5 linked regions of the Oryzias latipes genome follow. The main gene of each other region encodes a partner of the protein of the gene in region 2 in a complex. Links are inferred from orthologs where the notes say so. Each region holds a gene or a part of one and is shown on either strand. Other genes may lie near its edges. The genes, in order: med21, med24, med16, ccnc and med25.

The links.
Region 1: med24 (region 2) and med21 share a complex: the UniProt entries of both Homo sapiens proteins name them as parts of the mediator complex. The link is inferred for Oryzias latipes from reciprocal best matches to the Homo sapiens genes MED24 and MED21.
Region 3: the proteins of med24 (region 2) and med16 are in contact, whole or in part, in a cryo-EM structure (PDB 7EMF), measured with the Homo sapiens proteins. The link is inferred for Oryzias latipes from reciprocal best matches to the Homo sapiens genes MED24 and MED16. Residues at the interface, in NP_055630.2 of Homo sapiens: Ile539, Leu540, Asn541, His544, Pro545, Glu593, Arg629, Met630, Leu631, Gly632, Leu633, Asp634, Glu635, Asp676, Gln679, Gln680, Thr681, Ala682, Pro702, Pro703, Lys704, Arg705, Pro706, Ile707, Lys708, Glu709, His737, Met738, Gly739, Gly740; in NP_005472.2 of Homo sapiens: His29, Cys30, Pro31, Ser32, Arg52, Asp54, Asp55, Gln56, Glu82, Asp102, Val126, Glu127, Gly128, Asp129, Pro130, Val184, Ser185, Leu187, Thr203, Glu204, Ser205, Cys207, Arg208, Leu209, Arg210, Gly211, Arg212, Asp232, Gly233, Ser234.
Region 4: med24 (region 2) and ccnc share a complex: the UniProt entries of both Homo sapiens proteins name them as parts of the mediator complex. The link is inferred for Oryzias latipes from reciprocal best matches to the Homo sapiens genes MED24 and CCNC.
Region 5: med24 (region 2) and med25 share a complex: the UniProt entries of both Homo sapiens proteins name them as parts of the mediator complex. The link is inferred for Oryzias latipes from reciprocal best matches to the Homo sapiens genes MED24 and MED25.

What each region holds. Positions count from the first base shown.
Region 1 is NC_019881.2:3,908,770-3,913,258, forward strand, and holds the start of med21 (mediator of RNA polymerase II transcription subunit 21), read right to left. Parts: upstream 2,982-4,489; 5' UTR 2,959-2,981; coding exon 2,917-2,958; intron 1,859-2,916; coding exon 1,744-1,858; intron 1-1,743. Other genes in the region: fgfr1op2 (FGFR1 oncogene partner 2), read left to right, coding at 4,279-4,413. UniProt on the Homo sapiens protein: Component of the Mediator complex, a coactivator involved in the regulated transcription of nearly all RNA polymerase II-dependent genes.
Region 2 is NC_019877.2:9,579,859-9,584,107, reverse strand, and holds the start of med24 (mediator of RNA polymerase II transcription subunit 24), read right to left. Parts: upstream 2,813-4,249; 5' UTR 2,693-2,812; intron 2,687-2,692; exon of another isoform or gene 2,567-2,686; intron 2,429-2,566; 5' UTR 2,428-2,428; coding exon 2,298-2,427; intron 2,213-2,297; coding exon 2,130-2,212; intron 2,003-2,129; coding exon 1,964-2,002; intron 1,881-1,963; coding exon 1,807-1,880; intron 1,488-1,806; coding exon 1,264-1,487; intron 1,122-1,263; coding exon 1,010-1,121; intron 915-1,009; coding exon 764-914; intron 1-763. UniProt on the Homo sapiens protein: Component of the Mediator complex, a coactivator involved in the regulated transcription of nearly all RNA polymerase II-dependent genes.
Region 3 is NC_019862.2:1,605,211-1,609,685, forward strand, and holds the start of med16 (mediator of RNA polymerase II transcription subunit 16), read left to right. Parts: upstream 1-1,556; 5' UTR 1,557-1,714; intron 1,715-3,619; 5' UTR 3,620-3,657; coding exon 3,658-3,796; intron 3,797-3,866; coding exon 3,867-3,974; intron 3,975-4,055; coding exon 4,056-4,225; intron 4,226-4,297; coding exon 4,298-4,475. UniProt on the Homo sapiens protein: Component of the Mediator complex, a coactivator involved in the regulated transcription of nearly all RNA polymerase II-dependent genes.
Region 4 is NC_019882.2:15,128,012-15,132,496, forward strand, and holds the start of ccnc (cyclin-C), read right to left. Parts: upstream 2,961-4,485; 5' UTR 2,835-2,960; coding exon 2,803-2,834; intron 2,471-2,802; coding exon 2,364-2,470; intron 2,223-2,363; coding exon 2,138-2,222; intron 1,672-2,137; coding exon 1,602-1,671; intron 1,465-1,601; coding exon 1,413-1,464; intron 1,316-1,412; coding exon 1,260-1,315; intron 568-1,259; coding exon 532-567; intron 454-531; coding exon 362-453; intron 275-361; coding exon 207-274; intron 117-206; coding exon 37-116; intron 1-36. Other genes in the region: glial fibrillary acidic protein, read left to right, coding at 3,933-4,126, 4,206-4,371. UniProt on the Homo sapiens protein: Component of the Mediator complex, a coactivator involved in regulated gene transcription of nearly all RNA polymerase II-dependent genes.
Region 5 is NC_019866.2:3,594,837-3,598,550, reverse strand, and holds part of med25 (mediator of RNA polymerase II transcription subunit 25), read left to right. Parts: intron 1-503; coding exon 504-680; intron 681-3,714. UniProt on the Homo sapiens protein: Component of the Mediator complex, a coactivator involved in the regulated transcription of nearly all RNA polymerase II-dependent genes.

The sequences.
Region 1 (4,489 bases), on a different chromosome or scaffold from region 2:
CTTTTGGCAGTATTAAATTTATTTTCACAAAGGAGCCAGCACAATTACAATCTTATCATTTTAAGAAGGCACTGTGTGTGTAATAAGAGAGAGGAGAGAGCGCGTAGAGCGCCGGAGGGAGTGTGTGTGTGTGGGGGGGGGGATGGGGGGGGGGGGGGCAGCGGAAGTGTGTCGGGTGCGTGCATTCATGTTGTGTGTTACAGAGGAAGGAGAACGATAATAAAAGAAGGCTTCCCCCAGAATAAATGCTATAATTGACTCTTTATTAACCCGCTCTGGAGAATCTGAGGGTCCGAACGGGGAAGTTAATTCCGGAGGAGGATCTTCCTTCAGCCCTGGAGAAGATCCCCCCCCCCTGCTTCCGACCACAGTCGGAAAGAAAAAAAAGTCAGGTGGGAAAGGTTCAACACCACGCTCGGCCATTTTGCTGGAAATATTTTCAAAAACTGCCCGGTTGCGATAAGAGCCCTGGAGTTTGGCCTGAATGGAGCTGTCACCCCAAATATGAATCCAATCGGTGACCTCGCTTCCCTTCCACTGACTGGTCTCAGCAGCATCGTCCGCCATGGTTGATGTTTATCTTCTGGTTCCGCCTACTTCAACGCAGAATTATGACGTTTGAGAACGTATCAATGAGGTACGGGTCGGATTCATGTGGCCTGGCCGTTCAGACGGAGGTCGCATTTGAAAAGATCGGATACGTATTGGATTCAGGACCACATACCCAAGTGGCCTGGTTCACATTTGAAAAGATGGGATCTGTGTCGTTCAGACTGTCATGAAAAGATCAGATACAGGTCGCATGGGGGAAGAAAATCAGAATTGGGTCGTTTCAGCCTGCAGTATGAACGAAGCCAAAGTTACCTTTTCAGCTAATGCAAAACTGATAAAAACAGCCACTAACTACATGCTTTTTCTGCTAACATAAACATATGCCTATTTAGTTTCACTTAAATAAAAGAAGTATGACAAAAATAAATGAATCTTTATGAAATTTCACCGTTTATTCCTGTCCCTCAGTTTTGTTCAACCCGTAACAGCCTATCAATCCCCCTTTAAAAAAAAATAATAGTTCAGTCCAACTTCTTCAGCAGCCAGGAAGTGACATCACTGAATATTTTCCTGCTCATACTCTGAAGACAGGTAAGTATTAGCCTCCTTTCTTACCCATATTTCATAGTTTCTGTTGTCAGATTGACTTTGTCAAGCTCAACCTTTCAACTCTGTTAAATTAATAAATGATATTTACTATTGTTTGGGAAAAAGCTAACGATTGCTTTGAAATATGTATTAAATTCTTGTTTTCCTCATGCCATATGTAGCTTCATATCCTAGCTAATGTAGACACGTGACAACTTCAACCTCGTAATATTCTACTCCGTAACAAAACACACTGTCACAGTGACAAACTTTCTAACAATTTGGGGGATTTCATGTCTAAAGTGGGAAAACATCTTTTCTCAGAGGTTTAAATAGTCCTTAATCTGATGTAATGTTAAGAAACACACATTTTTTAGGTAAGATTTTCAATTACCAATGTGCACCGAATTCAGAGAATGACCCGTCTAGCCCCTGATATCAATCATGTCCCAATATCCAACGGCATCGAAGGCCCACCCCAACGTAAAATGAGGCTGTACTCCGAAAGTGAAAATTCAGAATTGAAACTGTAAACCGAGGACTGAAGGTGAAGAGCAGGCGGCGACCCAGTGGGTCTTTAGAGACAGTCGGCGTCAGACTAACCTTCAGTGGGGTTGGCCGGCTGGTCCTTGTTGATAGCGGTCTGGATGTTGCTGAAGGACGCAGGGGGAGCAAATTGTTGCAAAACACCGATGGCGTTACAAAACTGATCTGCAAGCTGCCCACGCAAAAGCAGAACACACAGTTCAGACCGAGCTGAAGCCGACCTGCACCACACATCCCGAATAGATTCATTTTATGTTTGAAACACAGACAGAAAGGTCAAAACAATCAAGCTTGGATTATAACAAAGCACAGCAGGAAATTCTACTCATTGGAAATGAATGGATATTATATTAAACATTTCATTTTAAAAACATTTTTGGTATAATTGTCTTCCATTATTCTTTATCTGGCTGTATGCAAATATTTCAAGCATTTTCAGCAAGATTTTGGTTTTATTTAAGACGGTTAAAATCTTTCATAGAGAAAAGAGAATTATGAAGTAGTACACTTCTTGTAAGTTAGAATATTTTTAGGTTTTTGCTCCTTCTTCATGTAATCATATGTATTATGCCCTTCAGGCATTTATTTCGAAATGTCATGAAGATTAAGTGTAGGGGTTGGAGTGCCTGAAGTTCAATATTGTCATATGTTATATACATATGTATATCTTTAGTCCATATGCTAGTAAGAAATGTCATCCGGCTGACCTAAACAATAACAGAACGGTTGGCCTGTACCACCACACATCATGATTCCTATAATATTCCAGCTAAATGAGCAAACAAGCTGCTTAGTGCTTTCAGGAGTTTCCTGATAGAGCTACACTAAAGGATGGCTAGCATGCTAAGAACAAATGGGACTCTAACTTTGTTTGACAGCATATTTTGACCGGCAGGATTAGGATAAGTCTCAAAACGAACAATTTATAGGGTAACTTCCTGGTTTGGGTACCTTTTTAAATAATTTCCACTTCCTTTCATGCGTCTTCAACTTTAATTCCAATCTACTTCAGCATTTTGGCAAACAGCTTCAGCAAACACCAAGTAAGTAATGCTATTTATTAAGTTAGCATTAGCATTGTTAGCTGCTGTGATGTTACGCCCTCAGTAAATAAATTAGGAAACAACTTCCATTAAAACCTATATATAATGCACATTTCATATTTAAATGTATATGTGACAGTCTTTCTATATCACAATTTTTGTCAAATATTTAACATTTTTATTTTACCGAGTTGACAGCATCTTGTAGTTGCGTTAGCCGGTCCGCCATATTTACCTGTATTTGACAAAAGTCCGTCGTCAACTATCGCGAGAGCATTGACAAAATCTCGCAGAAATTGACGTCATTTCGGAAGACAAGATAGCTAAAGAAAGTTAGCCCGTCAACAACCTTAAACCTGTTATTTTAGACTTGAATACCATAGAGACTTTTGCGAAATTCATTTTTTGTACTTTAGTATATTTTTTTATGTCTTAAAGAAACAAAGTTTAAGTTTAACGTATAATCCGATATTCGTGTTAGCATAAGCATGATGTTGCTATTCTGAGCTACAACATAAAATATCAGGAAGAAGATCTATTTTCTGGTTGCACTTTGAACTCTTCAGGTAAGACCACTTCAGTGTTAAATTAAGACACCTTTACATGCTTTGGTACACTGTTTATGAGGTACGTTTGTATGTTTTGTTGGAAAATTTGTCAGGATTTAGAGAGCAGCTTCGTTAGTTGTAACTACTTTACTACTACGTAAGCAAAGACATAATTAGCTGTTTGTTTCTGCTTGCTTAATTTTTTTGTCATAAGAAAGTATATTTCATGATCATAAATCTCCTGCAGTTCGACATCCTCTTTTTTCCCCTTTTAAACTGTGACACATTCGTTAACATCCTGCTTTAGTGGGTGAGCAGGAGGGTCATACCCGGTAAAGTTACATTGTTTGGTGGTGGCAGTGTGATGGTATGGGGCAGCATCTCCTGCTCGTTATTACTGGAGGAAATCTTGATGTAGAAGTTATACATCGAATTCTGCTAAAATAAATATTTAGTGTGTTTTTAAACCTGAATTACCCAAACACGACATTGGCAAAATTAGATGCTTAGCAGCGAATGTTCAACCAGTCATGATGGGTGCATTTCATAAACGGAGCTACGTATTCCCTTAAACTCTAAACAAAGATTTAAGATAAGTATTGTAACTAAAAAGTAATCTGCTTAAAACCAATTTCCCTGCTTTTTGTACTGTTTACATCACTTTCTATCATTTAACTTTCCATCTTAAATCTGTAAGACGCTGAGTATCTTAACGCTAATGTGTAAGTAAATGAAAAATGCAGGGATCTACTACTCTTTACTTCCAGATGTTCATTACTCACCACAGTAATTAGGTTTTTATCTCACTAAAACTGAACAAACAGAAAGCAAAAGAGTAAAACAGTTTTATGAAGGAAATTGCCCAATTTGTTATATTACTTACAGACTTGAACTCGATGTTTTTTTTCTTCTTAAGTTTTCACATTTCTTTAAAACCAGATTGATATTTTCTAAAAAATGTCCTGCTCATCGATTTTACTTTAATGTTTTCCCCTTTAGACATGAACTGTACGTTAGAGAAAGTCCTGGCAGATGCTAAGTCCTTGGTAGAAAGGCTCCGTAACCATGACAACGTAGCCGAGATGTTAATCGAACAGACAACATCTCTCAACAAGAGGGTAGAAGCCATGAAACAGGTAAGATTCTGCTTGGATTTTGATGTTTTATTTTATTTTATTTTAAATATTTTCCTCATGAGCCGACTGACGTCCT
Region 2 (4,249 bases):
GACTTTTTTGTTTTTATTATGTCATTAATGTAAAGTTTATTGCAAATCTTTCATGGATATGTGTTGTTGCAAATAAATATTTTTTAACATTTTGTACACAAGTTCCATTACTGTGAAACAACGGTTAAATTAAATTTTCATGTAATCAAATTATTTTAATTTGCAAAGAGAAATTTTCTCAATATGCTACTGTGAGGTAAAATTAGAAGAAAAATGGCTTAAAATACTTTTACCCCAAATATGTTTGTTACATAATTGTTTTGCTCAGCGTACATGATTTAACCATGAACCTTCTTTCTGTTATGTCATAGATAGAGAGATAAAGAGATAGATAGATAGATAGATAGATAGATAGATAGATAGATAGATAGATAGATAGATAGATAGATAGATAGTTAGATAGATAGAGAGATGACACTTTCATTTGCAGGTAAATTATTCATTACAAATAAAAAACTTCAGTATAAAGCAAAGCTAAAAAAGCTAAATATGAATGTAATTTAATGTAATTGCACAGTAAATTAAGAAAAAATGGTTCTCTTCAGGCTCAGAGGGTCTGATTATGTCAACATGAAGGAGCAAAAATGTGTAAATTCTTAATACAGTTTTACAAATTAACATATTTTACATAGTCATAATTGCAATGTTCAAACTACCGGTAATTCACCTGCAAAATATTTGCAAAAAGAATATGACTATTTCTGACTTAGGGCTGAAGATCACAGAAATTATAGAAATATTTTGTCATGAATTTCAAGCTCACCTGCATTCTCTTGATCATCATTAACTGCTCCACCAAAGGCTGGATCTCTCCGATTAAATTCATGGTTGCCTCCAGCATGATGAAGGCATGAACTGATGGGAAGGAGGCACGCACTGGAAGCTCACACTGCACAGAGAGCATGCTGGGAATACTGGGGAGAGTCAAGAGTCATCCCAAGAAAAATTAACTTTTTTTAATGTTTTAAAACACTTTTGAGTAAGAGCTTAGTGGCTGAGGAACCTTCACCTTTTTACTAAAAACAAACTTTCTTCCAGTGAAGTCCTTAATGTTTGGTTTGGTACATTTCCAAGACCTTCCGTAACTTTAATCACTGCTTGCTCCACATTGTTCCAGGACCCTTTGGAAGAGGAATTTCACATCAAACCTTACAAATGGTGAACATGCAAACAAAGACCATAACCTTTGTGTGCACAAATGCCTACATTCTCTTCCATAACATTCATATTTCAATATTGTCTTTCAATATTTTATTCCCAAACCTTGATCTTCTAATCGGGCGATATGAACCAGAGCTCTGTTCTTGGTGCTTTTCATCAGGGTATGAAGCCTCTCCTGACATGTTCTGAGAATAGCCTCTATGCTGGGTACCGGTCCGAGCTCTCTCAGGTTCTCGCAGTACCACGCACAGGCCTGCAGCAGCCAGACCACCACCCCAAGCAAAGCCCGACACAACCCAATGCATTCCTCTGCTTTGCCATGGCAGCTGAGTGAGAAGACAACAATGTACAGTATTAACAATTAAAGCTATAGTACAAATATAAGATAAAATACAATATGCAAGTGAAGTATTGGGGAAATAACAATAAGACAAGGCTTGGCACACAAGTAAATCAGTTAAGATTTAATTAAAAAAAAAACATATCAATAAAAATTGTTGAAAATTCCAAGTTAAAGTGAGGCAGATTGAAGATTTAAAACCCTGACAAATTTGCTGTCCAAAAAATAAATAAATAAAATAACAAAAATGTACAAGAGAAAGTCACAAGGAGAGAATAGTGGTGTTTACTCAGAAGTATTCAGACCTTAGGCGACAGCAGAACATGTCTATTATGTCCAGCAATGACTTCACACAGAGGTCCCGCGAGAAATCGTCAAACTATAAACAAAACACATTGGTTACAAATGCAGCAGAGATCCATTTAAATGCGAATCTTCTGTCCTTTTTATGATCAAACACACCTTGCTGATGGCTGTGAGCACACTAGCATAGGACACCATCTAGAAAAGTGAAACATTAACAGTCATTATTTAAAAATATATATATATACACACATTTATGTATATACACATTTATGTGTATATATATGTGTGTGTTCAGTTTTCAAAATAAAAGTTCCTTTCCAACCTGTGAACTTATAGCATATTTAAGGTAGGATAAGATGAGTGGGTTAGGGGATGGACCAATCATTGCCTGCTCCATCAAAGCTTCTGGAAAACACAAAGAAAATAATGAAAATTAAATGCATACATGTTATAGGATGAAACGCCGACGTTGTTTATCACAATCAACAACCTGCGAGGTTAAGGTAGTCCCATGTTGCTCCCTTTGGAAAGTTTTTCTTGATGTTGACAGCCCATTGGTAGTCTGTCCACCTTTCTTTCCACGCCTGCAGGATAGCCTGCTTCAAATTAACCACCTTCATGCTGGAAAGGAGCGAACACACGTATCTGTTAGAGAATAGCTAACTCACTTATGTCAAAAAAATAGCAAAATTGCCACACGTTTTAACATATAAACACTGGGTCAAGTCAATGCAGCTGTTAGATTCGCTGTTAGCATACCTTCTCAATATTAGCTAACAGAAAAAAACTAAACGTCTCTTGTTTCGCGAACAAACTCAGAATCGTCCCCGGAAAAGGCCAGAACATACCTCTCAAAGTTTCATTATTGACTTAATTCATATCTACCTGCTCTCGTTTTGTTAAAGCGCAAGATGTGGTTGTTTTTTAGTTTCACAGCTCCACAATGCAGGATACCCCCATTGCTGTTGTGAAAAACACCGCCGCTCATTGGCTACTCCCGACACTCCACCAGTATTCTTTTCGATGATTGGATAATGATGTTTTTCGCTTTTAAGCCTCAACCTTCGACTGCAGAATCTGTCTACTACCACAAGATGTCGCTGTTAACCACAGAACTTATGAAGTAGATCCGAAATTGAATGGGACTCTAAAATGTAGTTTGCAGTAAAAAAAAAAAAGCTTATTTCAGCTTTTTTCTTTCTTTTTTAAAAAGTTGGAAAATCACTACCCAATAGCAAGAATAATGAAAAATATATTTTCAAAATGAACACAATGATTAAATTAGAATAATAAGGAATCAGGAATCTTTATTGTCATTTTAAATTAGCGTCTCTGGTCCCGGGCCAGTCGTTTACAGTGAGAAGACAGGAATAAGTAAATAACAATATGATGTAGTAATAATTTACATTTATGGAACCCACAGTGCACTTTTAATTTAAAAATCTAAAATAAAAAAAAGCTTCTGAGCTTTTGTTCTTTGTTCGATTTTTGTTTTTTTTTGTGTGCACAAAAATTTGTTTTGCAAAAATAAAATGAACCCTTTCTCTGCATCAATCTCCATCAGACCAATCTTGTATTAGTCAGGGCCAACAAAGAGCTTCTTTCTGCTTGTTACTGGAGATGATGTACTGACTAGAGTGAGGTCTGTGTCCTGGGACAAGAGTTATGTAAGACCGAAAGAGATGATCAGTGCATATTAGGTGGACAAGTGTTAGAGGACTGATGAAGTTGCGTGTTTGTGTGGAGGTGTGTCTGGAGAGAATGATCTTTTCTCCTTTACCTTACACTGAGGGCTCTGTTGAGGAGGCGTGGTGACAGCTCTCCATCTGCCACAGGGGTGATCAGAGGGACTGTGGCTGCAGCTCTGTGTCTTTTCTCACGGCTTCATTTCAGAGATTAGGACATGTGCTGATTCTGGCTTTTCTCACTTCCAACCTTTATTATGTTACTTGTTATTGTTATTCAAAAGTGATCCCCCATCTTACAATATTATTGTATCATCATTGTGGTTCATTACATAACGTCTGTTTCACTTTCAAGTTACTTTCTCAGTTAAAGCTGCAGAACTACAACATAATAAACATTTATAATACAAAGTATTTCACATTTACTATAAATAATGTTATTAATATTAACAGTATTGTTTATTTTTGAACAAGTGAAAGCACACAAAAGACGACTATATTAAAATTCTTAGCTTTAGTCAATTTATTCCAACAAACTTCAAATAGAAGTAAAAAAGAAAAAGTAGAAAACAGAGACCAAATTTGGTTGGTGTTCCTCTAAAAGACTAAAAAGTGAGTTCTAGTTAGGCTTTTCTGTTTTTCTTATTCTTTTTTCTCTCAAATTCACCGACAGCCTTTAGGCACACAAAGATGATTACCAAGAGTTGAGATCCAGGAAATGAGAAAGATCTCATCCTGTCCCCCAAGGATGCCCATT
Region 3 (4,475 bases), on a different chromosome or scaffold from region 2:
TCAGGGTAGTTTAAACATGCTTCCTGGAATACGCCCCCCAGGTGTTCTCACCTGACAACAAAGAAATTCAGCAGGACAGTGATGTTAATGACTTTTTTTTTGGTTTTAAGACAGATTTCCAGCCAGACCTATAACATTCTTTCATTCATTCATCATAGCAGTCTAAAAAATGTAATTCTATTAGTTTAAGAAGAGTCTCCAATGTACATGAATGTACATGCTCACCCAGTTGAATCAACGTTTTGGGACTCGTATGCCTGTGACCATGTGACGTATTTTTGACAGTTTGTTATCAAGGTAAATTTGGTATTCAAGACAAACAAGAGTCGTATTTATAACAAAGACAAATCGCATTCAAACGTAAAATTAAAATGTTGTCTTCATGTCTTTTTTTTGCAACTTTGTTTTTATGACTATGTTTCTTTTTGACAGATTTCTCACACCCTACATTCCTTTATTAAAAACAGAGAACTTATAACTAACAAAATGAGTATTAAAATCATCAAAACAGGAATATATGAGAGAAAATACATCAAATTCAAAAAATACAGCAAATTCACCGCAAAGCTGCAAATAAATGTGTAAATATGTGGGAATCAGTCTTTATTTTGTTCTGGACACCACTGGAAACACAAATTCATATGATGGTTTCTCAGATCGCCGCAGCATTTCCGCCTTCAGCGATCGCGGTGCGTCAGGAGGAGGACCGCAGAAGGCGGACATGCAGCTACTTAGTCCTGAGAAGCTGTGGAAACTCATCAGAAGTTCACAACCATCACAAAACCCTCTTCTCTGCCACTAACACAGTCTGCTCCTGGTGCGTGTGTGTGCGTCAGTCAGCAGCCGGACACACAGAGAAAGCAGTGACGTCATCGCCCCGCCTCCCCTCTGCTAATGCTTTTTCGAAATGAATATTGTGACAAGGTGCGCAGGGTGGATGTTAAAATGCAAATGCAATCCCCTCTTTGCATTTTCGTTTTAATTATGACACAGAATAAGCGGTTTTAAGTATAAAATGAAAAAGCATTTTGAAATATTGCTTTTTCTTTTTAATTTTGAGTCAAAAAATGCAGCTACATTTTGAAAATTAAAAAGCATTTCTGTTAATCCATTTTAATTGTCAAATTAGACATTTCTAAATGAATTATGCTACACATTTACCAGGGACCTTTTTGAAAATGAAATGTCAAATACCATTTTCTTTATCATTTTAATTAAGTGACAGAAAAAGCTGGGTTGAAGTATAAAATGAAAAAGCATTTTGAAGTATTGCTTTTTCTTTTGAGAGTGAGAATTGAAAATGTATTCAACTTAACTTTGTATTTTGCTCCTTGTTAATAAAGTTACAGAGGGAAAAAAAGGTTTACCTCGGGTTTAGCCAGACTAAAATAGGATCATAAAAGTATTTATTAGAAACGTTGTAGAAGACACAGTGTGGATTTTTAATTACTTCAATGTTTTTACTTAAGTTGAAAGCTTTGTAATAAATTGTCTGGGCCTAATTTTCTTATTTCGTACTCTAAACATATTTTTCAGACAGGCAGCTGTATAGGCACACATATACGGGGGCCTGACACGCGCCAGTCTCTGCTGCGGTCTTTGTTTCTTTCAAAGTGCCGTTCTTTCCAACTCGTATTTATGTTTTCTTTCTGAAGTCGTTCTTAAAACTTCTTTCAGTTTTGGCTGTTAACTTTTGAAAGCCAGTTTCAAATAGGTGAGTTCATCATAATAGACTAAGTCAGCGGGTTTTTCTTTTCATTTGCATCACGTTTTTTCTGGAGTTTTGCTGCTGGGTTTGTTTGTAAAGAAAGTCAAGAAAACCGAACTGTTGACGAGCAACACTTTTCTTTTGGAAATTCAAACTTGCATCGTTGTTCATAAAAACTTGGGGTAAACATCCAGAAGACTGATGTGTTTCGTGGTGCTGTCATGTGAGCAAATTCAAGTTTATGGTAGAATTTAAATAAATGACCGAATACATACAAGGTTTACTTACAGTGGGGCAAACAAAGTATTTAGTCAGCCACCAATTGTTTAGGTTCTCACAATTCAAAAAATGAGAGAGGCCTGTAATTTTAATCATAGGTAAACCTTAACTAATATGAGACAAAATGAGTTAAAAAAAACAGAAAATCACATTGTCTGACTTCTAAAGAATTTATTTGTAAATTATGATAGAAAATAACTTAATGATCAATGACAAAAGTTCATTTGCTGGAAATAACAGCTGTGACAGACTGGTGACCTGTCCAGGATGCCCCCAGCCTTCGTCCGCGAGTGGCTGGGATAGGCTCCAGCAGCCCCGCGACCCCGAGAGGGATAAAACAGATTAGAAGATGAATGAATGAATGAATGGCAATGACAGAACGATTGATCTGCGTAAAGGAAAGAAGGAATGGAGCAGTGTATGGTCAGATTTGGAGGGAAGCCTCCTTCCATCAGCATTAAAGATGAGACATGGTTGGATCTTTCAGCACGACAACGATCCTAAACACACGTTGCCCGGGTAACAAAGGAGTGGCTTCATAGGAAACATTTCAAAGTCCTAGTGTGGCCTAGACAGTCTCCAGATCTCAACCCCATAGAAAATCTTTGGAGGGGGTTGAAAGTTTGTGTGGCCCAGTGACAGCCCCAAAACATCACTGCTCTAGAGGAGATCTGCATGGAGGAATGGGCCAAAATACCAGCAACAGTTTTTGAAAACCTTGTGAAGACTTACAGAAAACGTCTGACTGCTGTCATTGTCAACAAAGGGTAAATAGCAACGTATTGACTTGAACTTTTTTATTGACCAAATACTTATTTTCCTCCATAATTTACGAATGAATTCTTTAAAAATTGGACAATGTGCTTTTCTGTATTTTTTTCAGATTTTGTTTCTCATAGTTGAGGTTTTGGCTCCATTGACCATTAAACTCAATGTAAATTCAAAACTAGTTTTGAATTTAGTTCCTGTAGTGAAGGAATGGAGATTGGAGATTCACAAATTTAATCTGCAAACGTTTTAAAAATATTTTAGTAAAACCTCATAAATGGTCTGAACTTTCTTCACTTAGATTTTTCAGCTTCATTATATTGAGTCAAATATAAACGGTCCGTCCTTCAATGTCTGTGTTTCTAACGTGAACTGATAACTGATGGCTATTAATGTCATGCTACTCACTACTTTTGTACTCTCCAAATGACACAAATTCCCATCTAACATTACCAAGTCACTTTGTTGATCCTCACTTTCAACTTTTAAGTTTACATTGTAAAATTCTCTAGTCATCATTCTGTGTCATATTTGTTTAATATTGTGACTTTATTCATGTGGCGTATGCTGCTGACCTCTTGGCCAGGTCACCCTTGAAGATGAGATCTGATCTCAGTGGGTTTCACTTGGTTAAAAAAAAAAAACCCACTGTGATGGAAATAGTGTTTTGGATGTTTTAAGAATCCTACCCTGACTGGGTATGTTTTCACAATAGATCAAAATAGGATTAAATGGAAACTTACTAAATATAATGCTTGACATGGTTAATTATTCTGTTCCTTAACAATGATCTAACCTCTAACCTGCTTTGAAATACAGATGTGTTCACTTAGTGACAGATGTGTTCCTCTGTCTCCCATTCAGGTCAGGTGTGGACGAGGCGTCTTTGTTCCCCTTTGGACATGGAACTGGCATATGTCTGTGACTGGGAGAAGCGACAGAAGAACGCTCACTGTCCATCCATACCAGTAGTGTGCTCGTGGTCCTGCAGGAACCTGGTGGCGTTTACCACAGACCTGAAAAGTGACGACAATGAGAAGGGTACACAGACACACACGCACACGCACACACGTCCAACTCTTGGTCCCGGCTACCTGAACCTCTTTTTCAGATGTCAGTCACATGATCCACATCATCGACACTGAGCACCCCTGGGATGTCTTTTCTATCAACTCTGGTCACACTGAGGTCATTTCCTGCCTGGAATGGGACCAGTCAGGTAGGCTTTACTTTAGTTGACTTTTTTCAGAGTATTAAACTGTTATTGTTTTGTCAAGTGCTTGTGTTCTTGTGTGTGTAGGATCACGGTTGCTCTCTGCCGATGGCGATGGTCAGATTAAGTGCTGGTCCATGACTGATCACTTGGTAAACAGCTGGGAGAGCATCCTGTCTAGCTCTTTGGATAGAGATCCCATAATTGCCCTTAGCTGGTTGCATAATGGAGTCAAACTGGCTCTGCATGTGGAGATGGTAAGGCACCTTCTACATAGTAGAAAAGCCCCAGAACCAGTAAAAAATTGACACGACATCTTCTGCTTTCAGTCTGGTTCCACAAACTTTGGAGAAAAGTTCTCCCGGGTGAAGTTCTCTCCTTCTCTCACCCTGTTTGGAGGAAAACCAATGGAAGGCTGGTTAGCAGTAACAGTTAGCGGTTTGGTCTCCGTGTCATTGCTAAAGCCAGGCGGCTCCTTGCTGACGGCCAGTGAGAGTCTGTGCCGGC
Region 4 (4,485 bases), on a different chromosome or scaffold from region 2:
TGCAACACGGACATCAAAGTAAGGTAAGAATCTCACTTTGTCCATGTCCACAGAGAGCTCTGCAAACCACTGCCTGGCATCTTTCTGCTGCACCACACAGGCCACATGTAGGCAAGCTGATGGAGGAACAGAAGCAGTAATTAATCCATCTTTTTGAAATGTGAGTTAAACTGCTCTACTTTCAAAACCTAAGAGGCATTTCTTACCTAAAGCTATCATGAAGGGAGGGTAGAGCAGACACAGATCTGTCCTGTACGTGTCGTTCACTATTCGCCTGGTAAAGGCAGAAAACAATGCAAAGCCTTCCAGCGGAAAAATAAGCTAACATCAATGGGTTTTGTTCAAACGAGGCAGAACGTACCATGCTAAGGGCAGCAGCATGTCCTCCTGCCCCATGTCCTGCACATACTGCAGCAGAGGTCTGTAGGGGTGGTACACAATCAGGCAGCAGTCCTGAAAAATTAAGCCAATCAAGGATCAATTCTTCTCTCTATGAAACAACTCATCCTTTTTATCTAGATTTCCACCCACCATTAGCTCCAAAAGGTAAAACTCACATTCTAGAATCTGGGGGGAAAAAAAAGAGGTTTAGAATTATTTCAAAAAGACATTTAATCATGTTTTCACTTTGAAAATGCCCCCCAAAATTTGTGAATTCATTTTTATTTATTAAGTCTCGTCATCAGACTGGCCTTTGACCTCCTGCTGTACAGATGATGACTTTGTTTGCTTTTAACAGCTTCGCACTTCATCATTGTCACACTTTTACTAAGTGTCCAATGTCCACAAGATGAATGATGTTTACGAGTCACGGCCCTCTGCTACCTCAATCTCTGCCGTCTGAACCCCCCCCCCTCCGTAATTTATAGCTTATATAGCATTACGTCAGAGCCGTCTTGTTCTGGAAACTCTGGAGATCTGCGAGGCAAAAGCATTGAGCAGCAAGCCCCCTGACTGACTTTTTTTTTGTCAGCAGAGTGTGAACATTAGCTGAGGAATCTAACGCACTGATAGGCAGTAATGTGGCAACACTGTGATACAGTCTGAAGGCTTCTCGGTAAGCTGCAATGCAGCACATAAATAACTTTGCAGAGGAAGCAGTTTGATGTGACCTCACCTTCTTGAAACTTAAACCAGTAAACCTTGATGGCATTTACTGTTTACCGTCACATTTCTGCATCGTCAGATTTGTTCATGATTCTTAACTTTTTCATAAAATCACAGACGTAATCGGATTACTTCCACTGTGTTTTACTCACATGATTCATTCTGTAAGGAAACTCCTTTGGAAAGGCATAAGAAAATCTTGTTTTTACTACAAAAAAACAGAAGAAAAAAAATTTGTGTTGCTGGAAACTCCAAATGAAAACAGGGAAAACTTAAATTTGAGATCCACAATGTGGGTCACTTACATACAGAGGTGGCGGCTGAGATCAATCTGGTGTTGGACACGACTCCAAATTCCTACAGGAAAATAAGCAATACAAAACAGATTATCGTGTGTACTAAAGAAGCAGTTAAAGACCCTAAAATGTGTCTCACTTATGATTAAAAATGAAATGTAACATGAAATGTTAAAGATGATTCCACCAAATTTATACCTCAACTTTAGAGGCCAGGAACACACAAGTGGGAGCCATGAGCACCGGATCTATACTCTTCAGAGAATACCTGCAAAATGACACAAGGTATTTAAATATTAAACAAACAGATCATGGAAAGAAATGCTGACGACGTCAAAAAGTAAGAGTAGCCAAAGATAATCATGGCTACATGGGTAGTAAGCACAGTATAGTTAAGGGAAAGAATTTAAAACAAAAGAGGAAAGTTTTTTTTTTGTTTTTTTTGCCTTCCTAACTGTTATGCTAATGTCAGCAAAAGTAAACATTCCTTTGTTTACTCATTGATACATCATGTCGACAGCCTTTTGTTACAGGGTTCAATAAACCAGACCAACTTATCCGCTCCCGGACACAAAAGCTGTTGATGCTCTGCAGAAATGAAACTGTCATCAACACTGATGTAATCTCATTAGGGCTGCCCAATATGTTCACACTTTACCCTCCATGAGCTGTCAGCACAAACGTGTAAAATACCAACAGCTTAACTTATGGAAAAAGCGTTTCGAGCTCCTTACCGGGCGTAGAAGCGCTTAAAGTACACAGTCGCAGTAGCAATGACCTGCTGGCGCAGCTTCAGATGTTCGCCCAGAGCTTGGATAACTGAAAAATACCAAATGAAAAACATTAGTTGAAGTGTGTGATTTAGGTTTTGTTCGTGACTATTCAAGATTTTCTCATGTTTTCAAACAGACCCGGAAACAGACCCAAAACCTGCATGAATGTATTAGAAAAAAAACTCACCATTTGCAAAGAAAATCTGAAGCTTCCAGTACTCCTCCTCCGAGAGAAACTTCAGGTCTTTCTGGCGCTCCTTTATGAGGTCCTGTTTGTCCAAGACCCACTGCAGACTTTAAAAGATAAGCAAGATTACTTTATATGATAAATTTATACAGACGTTTGAACGGGTCAAATTCACTTGACTAACAGTAACAAGCTCCTGACGTGACGGCAACAAAACACAACGAAAACAAGAACCATTGCTGGAGCTCAAAGGAAAGAAAGTCCACATTTTTAGTTACAGTGTGTTCCCCAAGTGTTATTTTTACACCACAATGCTATAAGTAAACTGTTAGCTTCAACGCAGAACAAAAATAGCAGCTAGCTAGGCCTCACAAGCGAAGCGGCTGATGATTACGACAAAAACACACACAACGTCGATATTATTTTAACAAAAACTCACTAATGAGAACTCTGCCAAAAGTTACCCGCCATCACTGCAGTTGAGGTAGAAATTTACAGAAAGGAAAATTGTGTTTTTTTTAACCAACAAAAGAGCGGAGACAGCGAGAAAAGTAATTAAAGTGGCAGAGCTGGTGTATCACGAATAACGTTCCGACGAGCCCAAAGATTGGTTCCGCAGTCTCCTGTAAATGTCGGGAAACACGATTACTTCAAAGAGGGTATACTCACATGTTTTGCATGATTAAAACATTTATAAAACTAATTGTTTAAGATGCCATTTACCATGTTTAGACGTTTAAAGTAGATGTGATGAGGCTAGTATATGAGGTTTTCAAGCAACAGAAGGGAAAAAGGAAATAAAGAAAGTGGTCAAATAAACATAGCATCCTTTATTTCAAAGGGTTCATTGATTATCTCCTAAACTCAATTGAATATTAAAGCATTTGGGTAACTAGAGCTTTTATACCATATTTGTTTGTGGTTAAGTCAACTACAAGTTGTTTTTTTTTTTAATTATTTTATTTTGGCTATAGTTATTCTACATTGTGTAAAGGGTTATACCTAATATAGTCTATTAATATTAAAAAAACAAAAAGCAGCAATTAAGGACTTTTGACTTTTAGCGATTTAGCGATCAGCGATTGCAGACATCTTTTCTTTGGTCTAAACAAATTACGTAGCCCTATAGAAAAACAGGAAATTGTATTCTATTGTATTTATTTAATTTCAATTAGCCTTTCGTGAAGTCAGTGGTGTTCTGTTTTTTCAAATGTTTTACTTGTTTTTATTGTAATTAAGACAACTAAAAATCAGTTTGTATTGTTCATTTTGCTTGTACTTAACATTTGAAAGTAATGTTTAATTCAGCTTTTACTTCAAAATTAATTAAGTCCTTCATCATTCGAAGCACAATGTTCTTTCAACAGCCTATAGGCCAAATTATTTGGCTTGTTGTTGATAGATGCCTGTGCAGGCATTCATACTTGGTATGGAAGGGTTCAGCATTTCACTGTAGTGTTAGGGGAAGGGCCAAGAAGTGTATAAAGACCCCACCTCCTCAGACTGACAGAAGAAGCAAAGGCTCCATTTCCAGTTTCCAACTACAGTTGCATCAACTTAAAAGCCACCATGAGCCGAAGCCCGGAGAGGATGTCTTCATACCGCCGTTGTTTTGAGGACAACATTGCCTCAACATCCCACCTCCGGGTTTCCAGTCCTTCTCCCACCAGGAGAGAGAACCGCCACCGCTCAGCCAGCTTCAACCGAAGTGGCGGGTGGAAGTTGGGGGGGCATAGAGCACTCACCAAGCAAAAACTGACAAGGTAGGTCATCACCTCAGCCAGCTACACAAAAAGCCCACAACACAAAGCCACTTACACCATTATTTTTGGGCTCCTGCAGCAGTTCAAGTATGGGGGTCCTTTGTGTAGGTTCATCCCTGGAACCGGGGAATAAGATGGATCTGGATGTGGCTGCAGCACAAAACCAGGCCTTCAAGTTGACACGCACCAATGAGAAGCAGGAGATGGTTGTTCTCAATGATCGTCTGACAGTTTATATTGAAAAGGCAAGATACAAAGATTTACAAGTCGAATATGCAGCTTTTGCTTGGCTGTCACGTTCACACTATGACAAACCTTAAAACCTTTTCTGTGTTTGGTGCTTACCTCTTGGGAATTTT
Region 5 (3,714 bases), on a different chromosome or scaffold from region 2:
TGAATGATAACATGTATTCTGTTAGAATTCACTCAAAAGGTTTTGCATTTTTTTGAAATGTTGTTAGAGAAATGCATTTAATTGAGAGCGTTTCTTTTCCTTTTTTATGATTTAAAGAAGTGAGGCTGTTAAGGATCCTTTTCTAGGAGTGTTAATCCTGTTTCTGTCCACAAGGTGGACTGAACACAAAACCTTGTCGTGTTGATCTCATTAAAACTCAAAGGTTTTTGTGAGATCTGTTTTGTTTTTAGCTTCGACCTTTTCCTTTGGTCGGTTTTTTAGTGCACCAAAACCTCTAAAGAAACAGGAAAAACCTGAGGATTTCCTGTAGGTGAGCTCTAAAGCGCAGCTTGAATTCAGTTTCTACTGTTTGCATTCCTGCAACATTTTTTGATTGGACAGAGGAGCTCAGAAGTAGGTTATGTCCCGAAGCCCGGGCCCTGTCGCATAATTAAAGCCGGCTCCCATGTCAGGGCCTTAATCTGCCCTGTGGCCCTCTGCAGGCGGGCTGCGTCCACTTCCCCCACACCACCTCCCCCTGTGAAGTCCGCGTGCTGATGCTGCTCTACTCCTCCAAGAAGAAAATTTTCATGGGCCTCATCCCCAACGACCAGAGCGGCTTCGTCAACGGCATCCGGCAGGTCATCACCAACCACAAGCAGGTCCAGCAGCACAGAGCGGTGAGTGGCCAGAGAGGGCGGGAGGCTGGGAAAGGATTTTGGGGGTGGGTGGAGCTAAAAGATGTGATAATGAGGAGGATTTAGAGAGGAGCTCCAGGGAGCTGAGCAGCTTCTTAGCAGTCCGCTGCATTGTTACTGACATTTCATTTTTCCAGCACGGCAGCTGCTGCAGACTTTTTCAAATCAAAGTTGGTGTGAAGGAGAACGGATGAACATGTCAAAATAAAAGCACATTCATTCAGCCACATTGTGCAATGATACTTGTATATTTTATATTGTGATTAACCTTAATGCCAACATTTCAAAATACAGTGGCCCATCAATATATTGAGGTTCCCTTTTGGCTAATTTTTTTATTTGCAATTTACACTTTTTTCTTCAAAACAGTGCACTGGGTTCTGCATCCTGATTGGCTTTTGACCTTGTCAATCAATCTTTGTTTTCCTTTTAATAATACTGGACGCATTTTCTATGAAGATTTGAATTTTAAGATTTCAAACAAGGTTTTTGTCTGAGAAAAGTCCCTAAAGTGTGAAGTGAGGAGTTTTACAACAATTAGTAATCTTTCTTTGTAGATGTCAGTTATTGCAGGTTATTTTTAGAATGTAACCCTGCAATAAATATGGGACCACTATATTTCTTTATATATAGAGTTAAAAATGGGGGGGTATCAGAATTAGTCAAAAAATTGTTTAAAATCCCCGTCTGGGTAAACCATAGACGGTCATTTTAGCAAAAAAAATCCTTCAATTTTCAGGTAATGAAGGAAAGAAAATGTTATGTTTCCGTTGAAAGTTTTCTATCTTCAAATCCTGATAAGGGAATTATAAAAAAAAATAATAAATACACGAATGTTTCATGTTCAACCCCCCTGAAGTAGAAGCTCCGCTGCCGCAACCGATTACGGAAAAATTTCAGTGAAGTCTCTGCAAACCGGAAACCCCAGAGAGGAGGTGATTGTGAGAGTCTCCTCAGGATTAACACTCCACTGCATCACGGATGAGAGGAGCTGCATGACTGGGAAACAATGCAGCATCCACACAAGCTGCACATTTCCCTCCACAGGAAAGATGCTCTCCTCAGGTTTAAGAGTTGCATCAGGTTCTTTCTCGTCCTCTGCTATCATAAGTCGTTGTTTGCTGATCCTGCTTTATGTCGTTGTAAAGCAGTCTGGTTTGTGTTTCATCACACGGTCTGTTTCGCATTGCTAACGAGAAAGCAACCTTAATATGATTCAAATTTAGAGTTGGGGCCAGTTGTTGAGGTTTCTGTCAGGAAAGTTCCTTGAACAACATTTAGGAACTGCATGTTCTTTTCTCCAAAGCGATGCTGGATCGTATGAGTTACAGCAGCTGAATCATGAACAGAGAAACAAGCTGCTGCTCTGTGGCTTCCTCTAAAGGCCTTAAACGCTCTGCTGCCGTCAGTCAGAGAACATGCCATGTATCTGCAAAAATCCCAGGGTGATTCAGCGAGACGGATGGCTAAAAGGGATGTTTCATCACACTGCTTTTTCCCAGAGTCCTATTAGTTTCTCTGTGGTGTGAGAAGCCCCCTCCTTCCCCTGTTGTCTCCTCCTCAGTGGGGAGGCGCACAGTTCACAACAGCAACTGCAGAGGAGAGGGAGCTCAGGAGCAGCTTCTAGACGGGACTTTGCAGATAAACTCTTTTTTTTTTTTCCCCAAATAATGGCCGCTTCCCTTTCTGCAGCCTGCTGAACAACAACAGGTTTTCTCCTCCGTTTATGCTGCTGCAGTGATTCATGTTCAGCCGCATGTGGACGGTGTATATCCCCCCCAGATTTACTTCATTTTAACCGTGAAATCCGGGGTGGCAAACACCTCTGCAGGTGGTGCTTCAAGTGAAATCTCTTCTTCCCTTTGTGTTTGCTTTTGCTGCCCTAACAAAGAAATGCAGAATGGAGCCTCACGCACCTTCAGCATTCTTGACTCAGTAAATGCCAATTACACAGAGCAAATATGCAAATTCTAAATATACATGATCTACAAAGTCTATTTATTCCTGCAAAAGAAAGGGTGTTTTTTTTTTTAAATAAACATTTTCAAACTAAAAATCTGTTTGTGTTTATAATGTTGAGTAAGGATGAGATATGAGATACAGTACTCCAAATCCTGTTTTTGGCGTTTTTCTGATGATGGAGGACATGTATAAAGAGAATTTAGCTGAGTATCTCTTTATACAAATTGTTATTAATAATGAGCAAAAAAATGGCATTGAAAGAGATCGTAGAAAATACGCTGGGCGGGCCACTAGCTCCCTGCTCTGAACCCTCAGCATCAAGGAGGGGAAGGGGGGCGGGGTTGCTCTGTGCCAACTGTCCTGCCCACATGAATTTGAGCTCCATGCCAGGAATGTATGTGTTGAATTCTGTCTCACACATAACCTTGTAATAACCTGCACAGAGAACACAATTAAAAACAAAAAAATAATTGATTATTAACATTAAGAAATAAAACATAAGATTTGTTTTTCTCTAGTGAAGTTTAAAAAGTCAAGATTTTCTGTAAATAAATTTGAAATCCAGTTTCTCCTTTTTCATCATTTCACTTTTAAGTTTAGGAAAATTCTTTTGATTTTAACTTTTGTGAATGATTCCGATTTTCAAATTAAGAAAATAAAGTAAAAAGATGATCCAACTTTGAAGAAGTTATTCTCACATTGGTCTTAATTTAGTAAAAGTAAAGACCTAAAGAAAGACAACGTTGTTTTTTTCTAAATTCCGTTAATCCGGTTGTGTTTTTCTCAAAGGTTTTTCTTTGAAGTCATCAAACATGAATCTCAGTCTCAGCAGCTGGTTTTGGAGGCTGGAGCTCCAAACGTTCCTCCTCTCCAATGATGAAGCAGCTTTGTGTTTTGGTCACAAATGATCAGTGATTGATTGTTCAGTCTTTCTGTTGTTTTTCTGCTGTCATCTGAAATCGGGAATGACGAGCATCCAACAGGGAAAAGGATGAAAATGACCTAAATGTTTGTGTTTTAGTCTGACAGTTTACTGGCAGAGCGTGATTGGATG